Mus musculus: one gene and its partner. The protein of the gene in region 2 purifies or fractionates together with the protein of the main gene of each other region. This does not show direct contact. Links are inferred from orthologs where the notes say so. Each region holds a gene or a part of one and is shown on either strand. Other genes may lie near its edges.

Region 1 (3,500 bases), on a different chromosome or scaffold from region 2:
CAAAGGGCTCAGGGCAGGTAGATGGGATGGGTAACGTTAACTTGTTTACAGCCACACCATAGGCTACGGCAAGACAGTCGATGCCACGGTAGGGCACCTCCCCAGTCAGCAGTTCCCACAGCAGCACTCCAAAGCTGTAGGGAGACAGAGATTCGGATGTTCACCTCAAAGCAAGGAGGAACTAAATGGTTTTGGGTCCTGGATTCTGCCTGCCTGACCACCCCTGGGCTTAAGCAGCCCTTCTCACCCTCTGTAGCCCCACACTCTCCGGTCCCAACACTGGCTGTACCTCCAGACGTCGCTGCCCTTGGAGAAGGTGGAGGCCTTGATAACCTCGGGAGCCATCCAAGCGTAGGTGCCCGCAGCACTCATCTGGGTGGTTTTGTGCCACTCTCGGGCGAGGCCGAAGTCAGTAATCTTTAGGGTCTTGTGTTCCATGTCGTCACCCTCGATGGGCTGCAGCAACAGAACTGGGGAGCAAATGGAGGAGGATTGTGGGGGTGCAAAGGAGAAGCGTGCAGAGCAGGCGCATCTCACAGTCATCCTGGCCAGGTACTGACACACAGGTGGCTGGTGAGACGCTGCCCTGAGAAGTTCACAGCCGGGGTGGGGGGAGACTTGACTACTCAGGTGACAAGCAGCACCCATTTACTGGCAAGACATTACTAAGTTGCTGCCTCTGAGTACTAGAGGCCAACATTTTAGTTAGTTCTACTAAAAGAGATAAACTAAACTAAACCAAATTAAACAAACAAAACCATGAATTATCATCATTTTACAGGTGAGGAAATAGCAGGGACCTGCCCAAGTCACAGCAAACAGATTCTAGTCAGCCTAGGGCTCCAGAGCTAATGCTCTAGCCTTTTCATAGCACGGAATGGATTAAAAACTGTAATGTGGCCGTTTTCAGTGTTGGTGGCTCTGCTTTCAAGAGAAACCTGAGGTAGGCATGGTGGCATATTCCTTTAATCCCAGCACTCAGGAGGCAGAGGCAGGTGGATCTTGGAGTTCAAGGCTCAAGGCCAGCCTGATCTACAAATGGAGTTTCAGGAGAGCCAGGGCTACGCAGAGAATCCCTGTCTTGAAACACACACACACACACACACACACACACACACACACACACACACAGAGTGAGCGAGCAAGCAAGAGAATCCATTGAGTGTCTTGTCACTCTGCTGAGGCAGGAGTATGAATCGGAACTTAGGCCAGGGAACGGGGAGGGAAGCCCTTAAAGAGCAAAGATCTCCTCCAGGAGGTCACAGCACTGTGACCATCACAACCTCTCACAGCAGAAGACTTCAGAAGACGTCTACAGCAGGAGTTGGGTGTAAAGAGAGAGGGAGGTGAAGGTTCTGGTCACACTTGGCAGGGGTCACACTTAGCTTTGGTCCAAGTGTGGCTACCAATCTCAGAAAAAGAGAGGCAACATCTTAGCAAAATCTTGCCAGGATAAAAACAGTTCAAGTGAGCAGCAGAGTAGCAGGGGACCACGTCTGAATCCTCAAGGGCCCATCAGTGGTGAGCAGTGCCTTCTGTTTTGAGCATGTGGCAGGCACACCCCCAGCTCTCTTACAGGCTATCAGTCAGGGCTGCAATGGGACAGGATAGGTACTGAGCGTGAGGAAGGGGGGAGGGCATCTATGTGGCCAGGTGAGCCAGGAAGGGCTTCTTGGAGGAGGAATCACACCAGGTTTTATCTTCAAAGGCCTGAAGCCAGAACCCGTTTCCCGGGTGATTTGGCATTAAGGCCTGACCCCTACCCACACCATCCGTTCCCAGGTCCTCTTGTTCGTGACTCTGTTTCCCTCTGAATGCTTCAGTTCTGGTGCTCTTCGAGCGCAGACACAGACGCTGCCACCTCTGGGCTGCCTCCATCCACTCCAGACTCCTGCCCCCTCTTACATGGCAAGACAGCAATGATGCGCTCTACCCACTGTCAACATGCCCTGCGTGGCTCTTCTCTGCCCCCACTCCTGGCAGACTTCCTTCCAGTTTCTCCTAGTTCAGGGAATGGTGTTGACTCCTCCTACTCCTCTTTTGCACTGGGAGTGAGTCTGGCTCCGATAAGGCAAATGTACCTCACAGGTTGTCCAGGAGTCTTAGACCAGTTCAGACATTGAAAAGCCTTTAGCCTGGGCCTGACGTGTGGCAGAACTCTTCTCAATGTCTTTCGGCATAGAGATCCTGTGCTCACGTCTGTCAGAGCCCACTCTTGCTCTCCACCCTTAATCCTAACTTCCGCCCTCCAGCCCCAGGTCAGCCTGCCAAAGGCAGCAGGGACCCGTTGTTAGGCCTGTGCAAGCTCATCTCAGGAGGAACCACAACAGGCTGGGGCAGGATGGGAGAGAGCACAGGTTCTTTCCGGAGCCAGGACCCACCCTCCACTGAGGACTTGCTCCTGCCTCCAGCCTGGTCTCTAGCACACATGGTTGCCCACAGACGGGCAGAGCACATTCTGCATCGTGTTCTTAGGCAGGGAGCCAACCTGCCTCTTTTCTCGTTGTGGAATCTGAATTCTGGTAAGAGGCAGCACTTGGTGTCTCAGGCCTCTATCTGCAGCCATTCTGCTACCTCCGTCTCCGCTCTGGGTTTTGTAGGCACCTCACCTCTGCGTCCTCAGCTTCTCCTCCAGCTTGTTTTGCATCCTGCCTGGGTCCTAAGTTATTGTTGTGATGCTCGATGGAGACCTTGGGCCTGGGAGGTCAGGGGCCACTCAGAAAAGCTGCAGAGCTCAAAGCTTGGGGCAGCTTCCCAGCCGTCTCCTTACTGTCCCCCCACCCCCTCCTGGCCTTTGTCAGGCTAGGGAGTAGCCTGGCCAGCTCACACCTCTTCCGCTTTCCTCTCATGGTCCCTACTTCTCCTTTCTAGGAGGCCTGGGCCAACTTGGGGGGGGTATTCTTTGGGGGCAAATTGGGGGAGGTCAGGTCCAGGCCGGCTGGCTGGTCAGTCCTGTGACTCGTGGGCCTGGAGAATTCCCCCTTCTCTCGAGGCCAGGCCTCCTCACAAGGCCCCCATTGTCCAGGAAAATCATGCCATTGTTTCCTGCCTGATTCCCCCCCACCCCAGCCCAGGGACTCCCCCCACCCCAATCCCACAGACAGCAACTCGGGCCTAGGACTGGGTCTGCAAGGTTGGATGCCAGGCTCAGAGGCTGAGGGCACCTTGCCTGCCCTTCACCAACACCCAGACTCTGAGAGGGAAACAGGGGAACTAGGGCCTGGAGGGGGGCAATCCCTGGCTCCTTCCTCTCCCGAAACCCCTCCACCCCCAGCTCTTTCCTCCCTTGCAGGCAGCTGGGCCAGGGAGGGAACAGAGCTGGAGCTGGGGCAGGAAGCCAGCCCAGGGGCAGCAGGAAACACAGGAAGCGGTGTGGAGGGTGGGGAGCAGGGGCCTGGACTATTGTTCCATTTTTTTCTGGAAGGAGAACGGAGGAAAAACAGAAGACAGGAGCCCCCACCCCCTGGGCCTTCGGGGAATCCCCCTCAGGCTAGTGGAGG
Region 2 (4,240 bases):
ACAGTACAGCTTTGAAAGAAGTAGATTGCAGGCTGGGAGGTGGCTTAGAGGGCAAAGTGATTGCTGCGCAGGTGTGAGGACTTGAGTTCGAATCCCTAGGGCCCACATAAAGCTGGATGCAGGAGCACACATCTGAGGTCTCAGAGTTCTGCCTCCTTAAGACACACCCTCCTGTTTTTTGAGAATGGATGTTTTGTATCCTAGGACACTCTGAATCTTCTATGCAACCAAGGGTCACCATAGATTTTTCTGCTTCCACCTCCCAAGTGCTGGGATTACAGCCATCCATCTCAGAGCTTGGATTATGAATGTGGTAGAGGCACTAACGTGGGGCTTCGTGCATTCTTGGCAAGCTCTCTACCGACTGGGCTACATCTCCAGCCCGCAAGAGAACATTACTGAGATAAGGTTCCTCTAATGTTGGGGAGCATCTGACAGAAGGCTAGGCTCTCTATTCTCCAGCAGCTAGTACACGGCCAGAGAAGGCAGCTATTCAACAGGCGCCGAGATGACAGGGAAGAGAAGGATTTGATAGGTCAGATCCAACCAAAGGGGCCAGGGGAGAGCACTCAGGGACAGTAAATGTAGGACTTTTTTGAGGGGGAAAGTCTTTAGTTCTAAACAAAACCGAGGGTGATACTCAACTCCCACTCCAAAAACAGACAGATAAAGCTGTGCACAGCAAGTCACTTCCTCTCTCAGAGAAGCAAAGAGGCAGGCTATGGAGGGGCACGCCTATAAGCTCAGCACTTCGGAGGTAGAGGCTTAGCAGTTTAAGATCAACCTCTGGTACCTAGTTAAGCATTCAAATCCAGGCTGCGCTAAACGAGATCACGTCTCAAGTTATTAAAAACAAAACAAAACAAAACAAACCCGGTAGCCTGGGTATGGTGATGCACACCTTTAATCCCAGCACCCAGGAAGCAGAGGCAAGGGATTCTCTGAGTTCCAGGCTAGCCTGGGCTCCACAGCAAGTTTCAATACAGCTAGGGCTACCCATGGAAAGAAACTCTTGTCAAAAAACAAAAAACAACAACAAAAAAGAGAGAGACAGCTCAGGCATGGTAGTACATTTCTTGAAATATCAGAACTCTGGAAGCAGAGGCAGTAGTATTGCTGTGTTCTGGGACAGCCTGGTCTACATAGCCATTCTGGGATAGCAAGGGCTACATAATGACACCCTGTCTCAATAAAATAAACAAAAATATAAAAGTAAAACATATTTACAACACTTTTCTTCACGAAGTTGCAAGACTCAAAATAAACTTTAGTTACAACACCGTGCACATCATTGTTCATAGTTTTATTACGGATAAAAAATACCGTTAAAAGGCGCAGAGAGCCAACCAGAGCATGCAAGGAACGCAGCCCGCGCGCGTGCGCGCCAAGGGGCGGAGCCCGAGCCGCCCTCAGCCCCTTCTCTCTCTTTGTCCCTCCCACTTCCGCGGGCACCCAACCATGCGTCCCCTGCGTGCTGACGTCAGGCGCGTGCCCCTGTCCGGCAGCCGAGGAGGCCCCGCGCAGTGCTGCCAACGCCCCGGCGGAGAAGCTGAGGTGAGTGCGGGGCCCGAGAAGCCTCCCTGCGGGAGCGTCTTCTGCGCCGCCCGGTCCCCTTCGCGTGTCCCCCCCCCCCCCGTCCTCTCTCGGTTCTCGAGGATGCTCGCGGGCAGGGGCATCCCGGTGCTTGCGGGCGGTGGGCCGCGAGGGAGGGCTTGCCGGGGTCGCGTGCGCCCGCCGGCCCGGGTTCTGAGGGAAGCGAGGCGGGGTCGCGGCGAGGCTTAGGGCTGGAATGGCGGCGCGGCGCGGCCGGGGATGGCGGCGGCCGAGGGCACAGCCCGGCCGAGCTGTCAGCGGCGGCGGCGGCGGCGGCGGCGGCGAGAGGACCGGGCACACCCATCCCACCCGCTCCCCTCCCCCTCCGGCCGCCCGCGGGCTCCGAGGCCCCGGGGCGCGGGGTGGGAGACGCCCGGTCCGGACCGGGGTCGGAGGCCGGGGGCTGTCTCTCCGTTGTGGGCCTCGACTTCCTGCTTCCCCGGCCCCGCCACGGACGCGTTGCGGCTGGCGGGGGAGGGGAGCGGAACTGCGGCCGCAGGGCCGGGCCGGGCCGGGGCCGAGGTGACGGACCGGGCGGCTCTGCGCCTGCGCCCCTCGGCGGTCTCCAGCCCCGCGCCGTGTCCTCTCCTGCCCCGCGGCTCCCGGGGCTCTCCTGCCGGGGCCGGCCTCTTTGCCATCCGGGACCTGCCTAAGCACCTCCCGAAACCCCGCCTGGCCACTTACTCAGTTCCTCGTTCCTAGCAGGAAATTTTCTTTGTCGGTTATTATTACTATTTTGTAAATTCCTCTTTCCACCCCTTTAACTCTGGGAGAAATTCAGTGTGGAAGATTACGTCATCGCAGCATAAGGGGTGAGAGTTTTAACTCCTACAAGTCAGGGCTATTCAAATTAAGACAGCATCTTGCGGCCTTTGTGGGTCAACCCAGCACATTGGTTCAGAGTAAGGTGGCAATTTTTTTTTGTTGTTGTTGAAATCCTGTTGCCTGTCTTCAGGCTGCCTGAGATGCACCTAAAATACCGAAGGTTCAAAATCTTAGGTTTAAGTTATTTTGGTCAGGGAATATACACTGTCTGCAGCCACTTGTGTAGGTATGATCTTTAAAGGACCCCTTGGCTATATACTCGGGTGAATTGCAGGAGCAATTCTTTGCCACACTAATTGTGACTTACTTGATGTAAAGAACCCAACTTCAGTGCATGGTTTGAAGAATGAGGTGAAAAGAGAATTTCGTCATACCCCTGATTTGTCTTTGTTAGGATTGCAACTTCAAAGTTGCATGCTTTAGTTTTTCCATTAAAAGGGCTTTTGGATTTTTTTTTTTTTTTTATCTTGAGACAGGGTCTCCATATGTAGCCCCGGTTAACCTTAAACATAGAGGGACCTCCTAGTCTCTGCCTCTCAAGAGCTGGGCTTACAGGAATGAGCTACTTGAATTACCAACCTTGATTTTAATTTCTAACCCTAAAAACTTGAGTAATATTTTTAGATCACTAGAATGGTGTGTCCTTTGATTATAGTACACACTAGCATTGAAGAACATTAACACTGCAAAGCAAATGATATCCAGTGCATCCCTGTAAGGGTGGCTCATGTTTGAACAAGACTTTTCCCATTATTGCTCATTTGTATAGAAAATGATGTTTGTAAAATACTGGAGTGGTGGATTCAAATTGGCTTTCTGTAGTTGGTAGTTGTGGAGCTTGAATCTTCCAAAATCTTCCAAAATTTGTTAGCCTTAATGTGACATATAGGAATATAAAATTGGAATACTTACCTACTATTGTGTTTTTTTTAGCCTATATTTAAAAGGTTTATATGTGCACCATTTTTTTTTTTTTAATTAACTAGTTTGGGCTGGTGAGATGGTATAGTGGATAACAACACTTGTCCAACAGGCCTGACTACCTTAGTTGGGTCCCCCAGAACCCAAAGTGGAAGGAGTGAATCCTCTCCAAAGTTGTTCTCCATTGGGCCTTAGTGGTCCTAGCCTTTAATCCCAGCCCTGGGGAGGCAGAGGCAAACTCTTGAGTTTGAGGCTAGACTCATCTACACAGCCTGTCTTGAAGAATCAAAAACAAAAGCTGTCTTCTGATCTTCACACTCTTGCCAGTGTGTATGTGTACAAATAAATGCACACAATAATAATAAAAATTAAAAACACAATTAGTTTGATTTTGACATAAGAGATTGGCAACTGAGTATTTACAAGGAGTTTGTTTTTAAACAATTTGTTCAAGACCCTAAAGTGCCTTATATTCTGTTAAACTCTTATTTAAATTCAAGATGTTTTCATATTGAGACAATACCTGTGCTTAGTAAACACATTCCCTGCTCCGGTGATCCTTGTAAACCCATCAAGACTAAAGTTTACAAAGTTTACAAATCTTTGCAAAAAGATTTGTTTTCTTAGGAATATTTTTGTAGATTATTTTATTTCAGATTTTCATACATGTGAAACATTTTATATTTTGACCACCCTATCTCCCTCCTCTGTCCCTCAGCTCTCCCCTCAGTGAGTCCATCTCCCAACTCTTGTTCTTTTTTGTGACCCACTGAGTCTAATGCTGCCCCACATTTCTAGTTACTTTTATGATACGTATACTGCAGATTTTTTTTTTCTTTTTTTTTGGTCTAATGTACTTTTTGGAGGAGAATTGATGGGGCTTGAATGCACAGTCAAACTT

What was found. The genes of interacting proteins can lie anywhere in the genome.
Region 1: the proteins of Cdc42 (region 2) and Map3k11 purify together in Homo sapiens (affinity purification with western blotting; 3 studies listed by BioGRID and IntAct, with this or other methods). This does not show direct contact. The link is inferred for Mus musculus from reciprocal best matches to the Homo sapiens genes CDC42 and MAP3K11.

Annotation. Positions count from the first base shown.
Region 1 is NC_000085.6:5,692,131-5,695,630, reverse strand, and holds part of Map3k11 (mitogen-activated protein kinase kinase kinase 11), read right to left. Parts: intron 2,698-3,500; exon of another isoform or gene 2,610-2,697; intron 471-2,609; coding exon 290-470; intron 135-289; coding exon 1-134. UniProt on the Homo sapiens protein: Activates the JUN N-terminal pathway. Required for serum-stimulated cell proliferation and for mitogen and cytokine activation of MAPK14 (p38), MAPK3 (ERK) and MAPK8 (JNK1) through phosphorylation and activation of MAP2K4/MKK4 and MAP2K7/MKK7.
Region 2 is NC_000070.6:137,354,960-137,359,199, reverse strand, and holds the start of Cdc42 (cell division control protein 42 homolog), read left to right. Parts: upstream 1-1,440; 5' UTR 1,441-1,554; intron 1,555-1,561; exon of another isoform or gene 1,562-2,405; intron 2,406-4,240. UniProt on the Homo sapiens protein: Plasma membrane-associated small GTPase which cycles between an active GTP-bound and an inactive GDP-bound state. In active state binds to a variety of effector proteins to regulate cellular responses. Involved in epithelial cell polarization processes.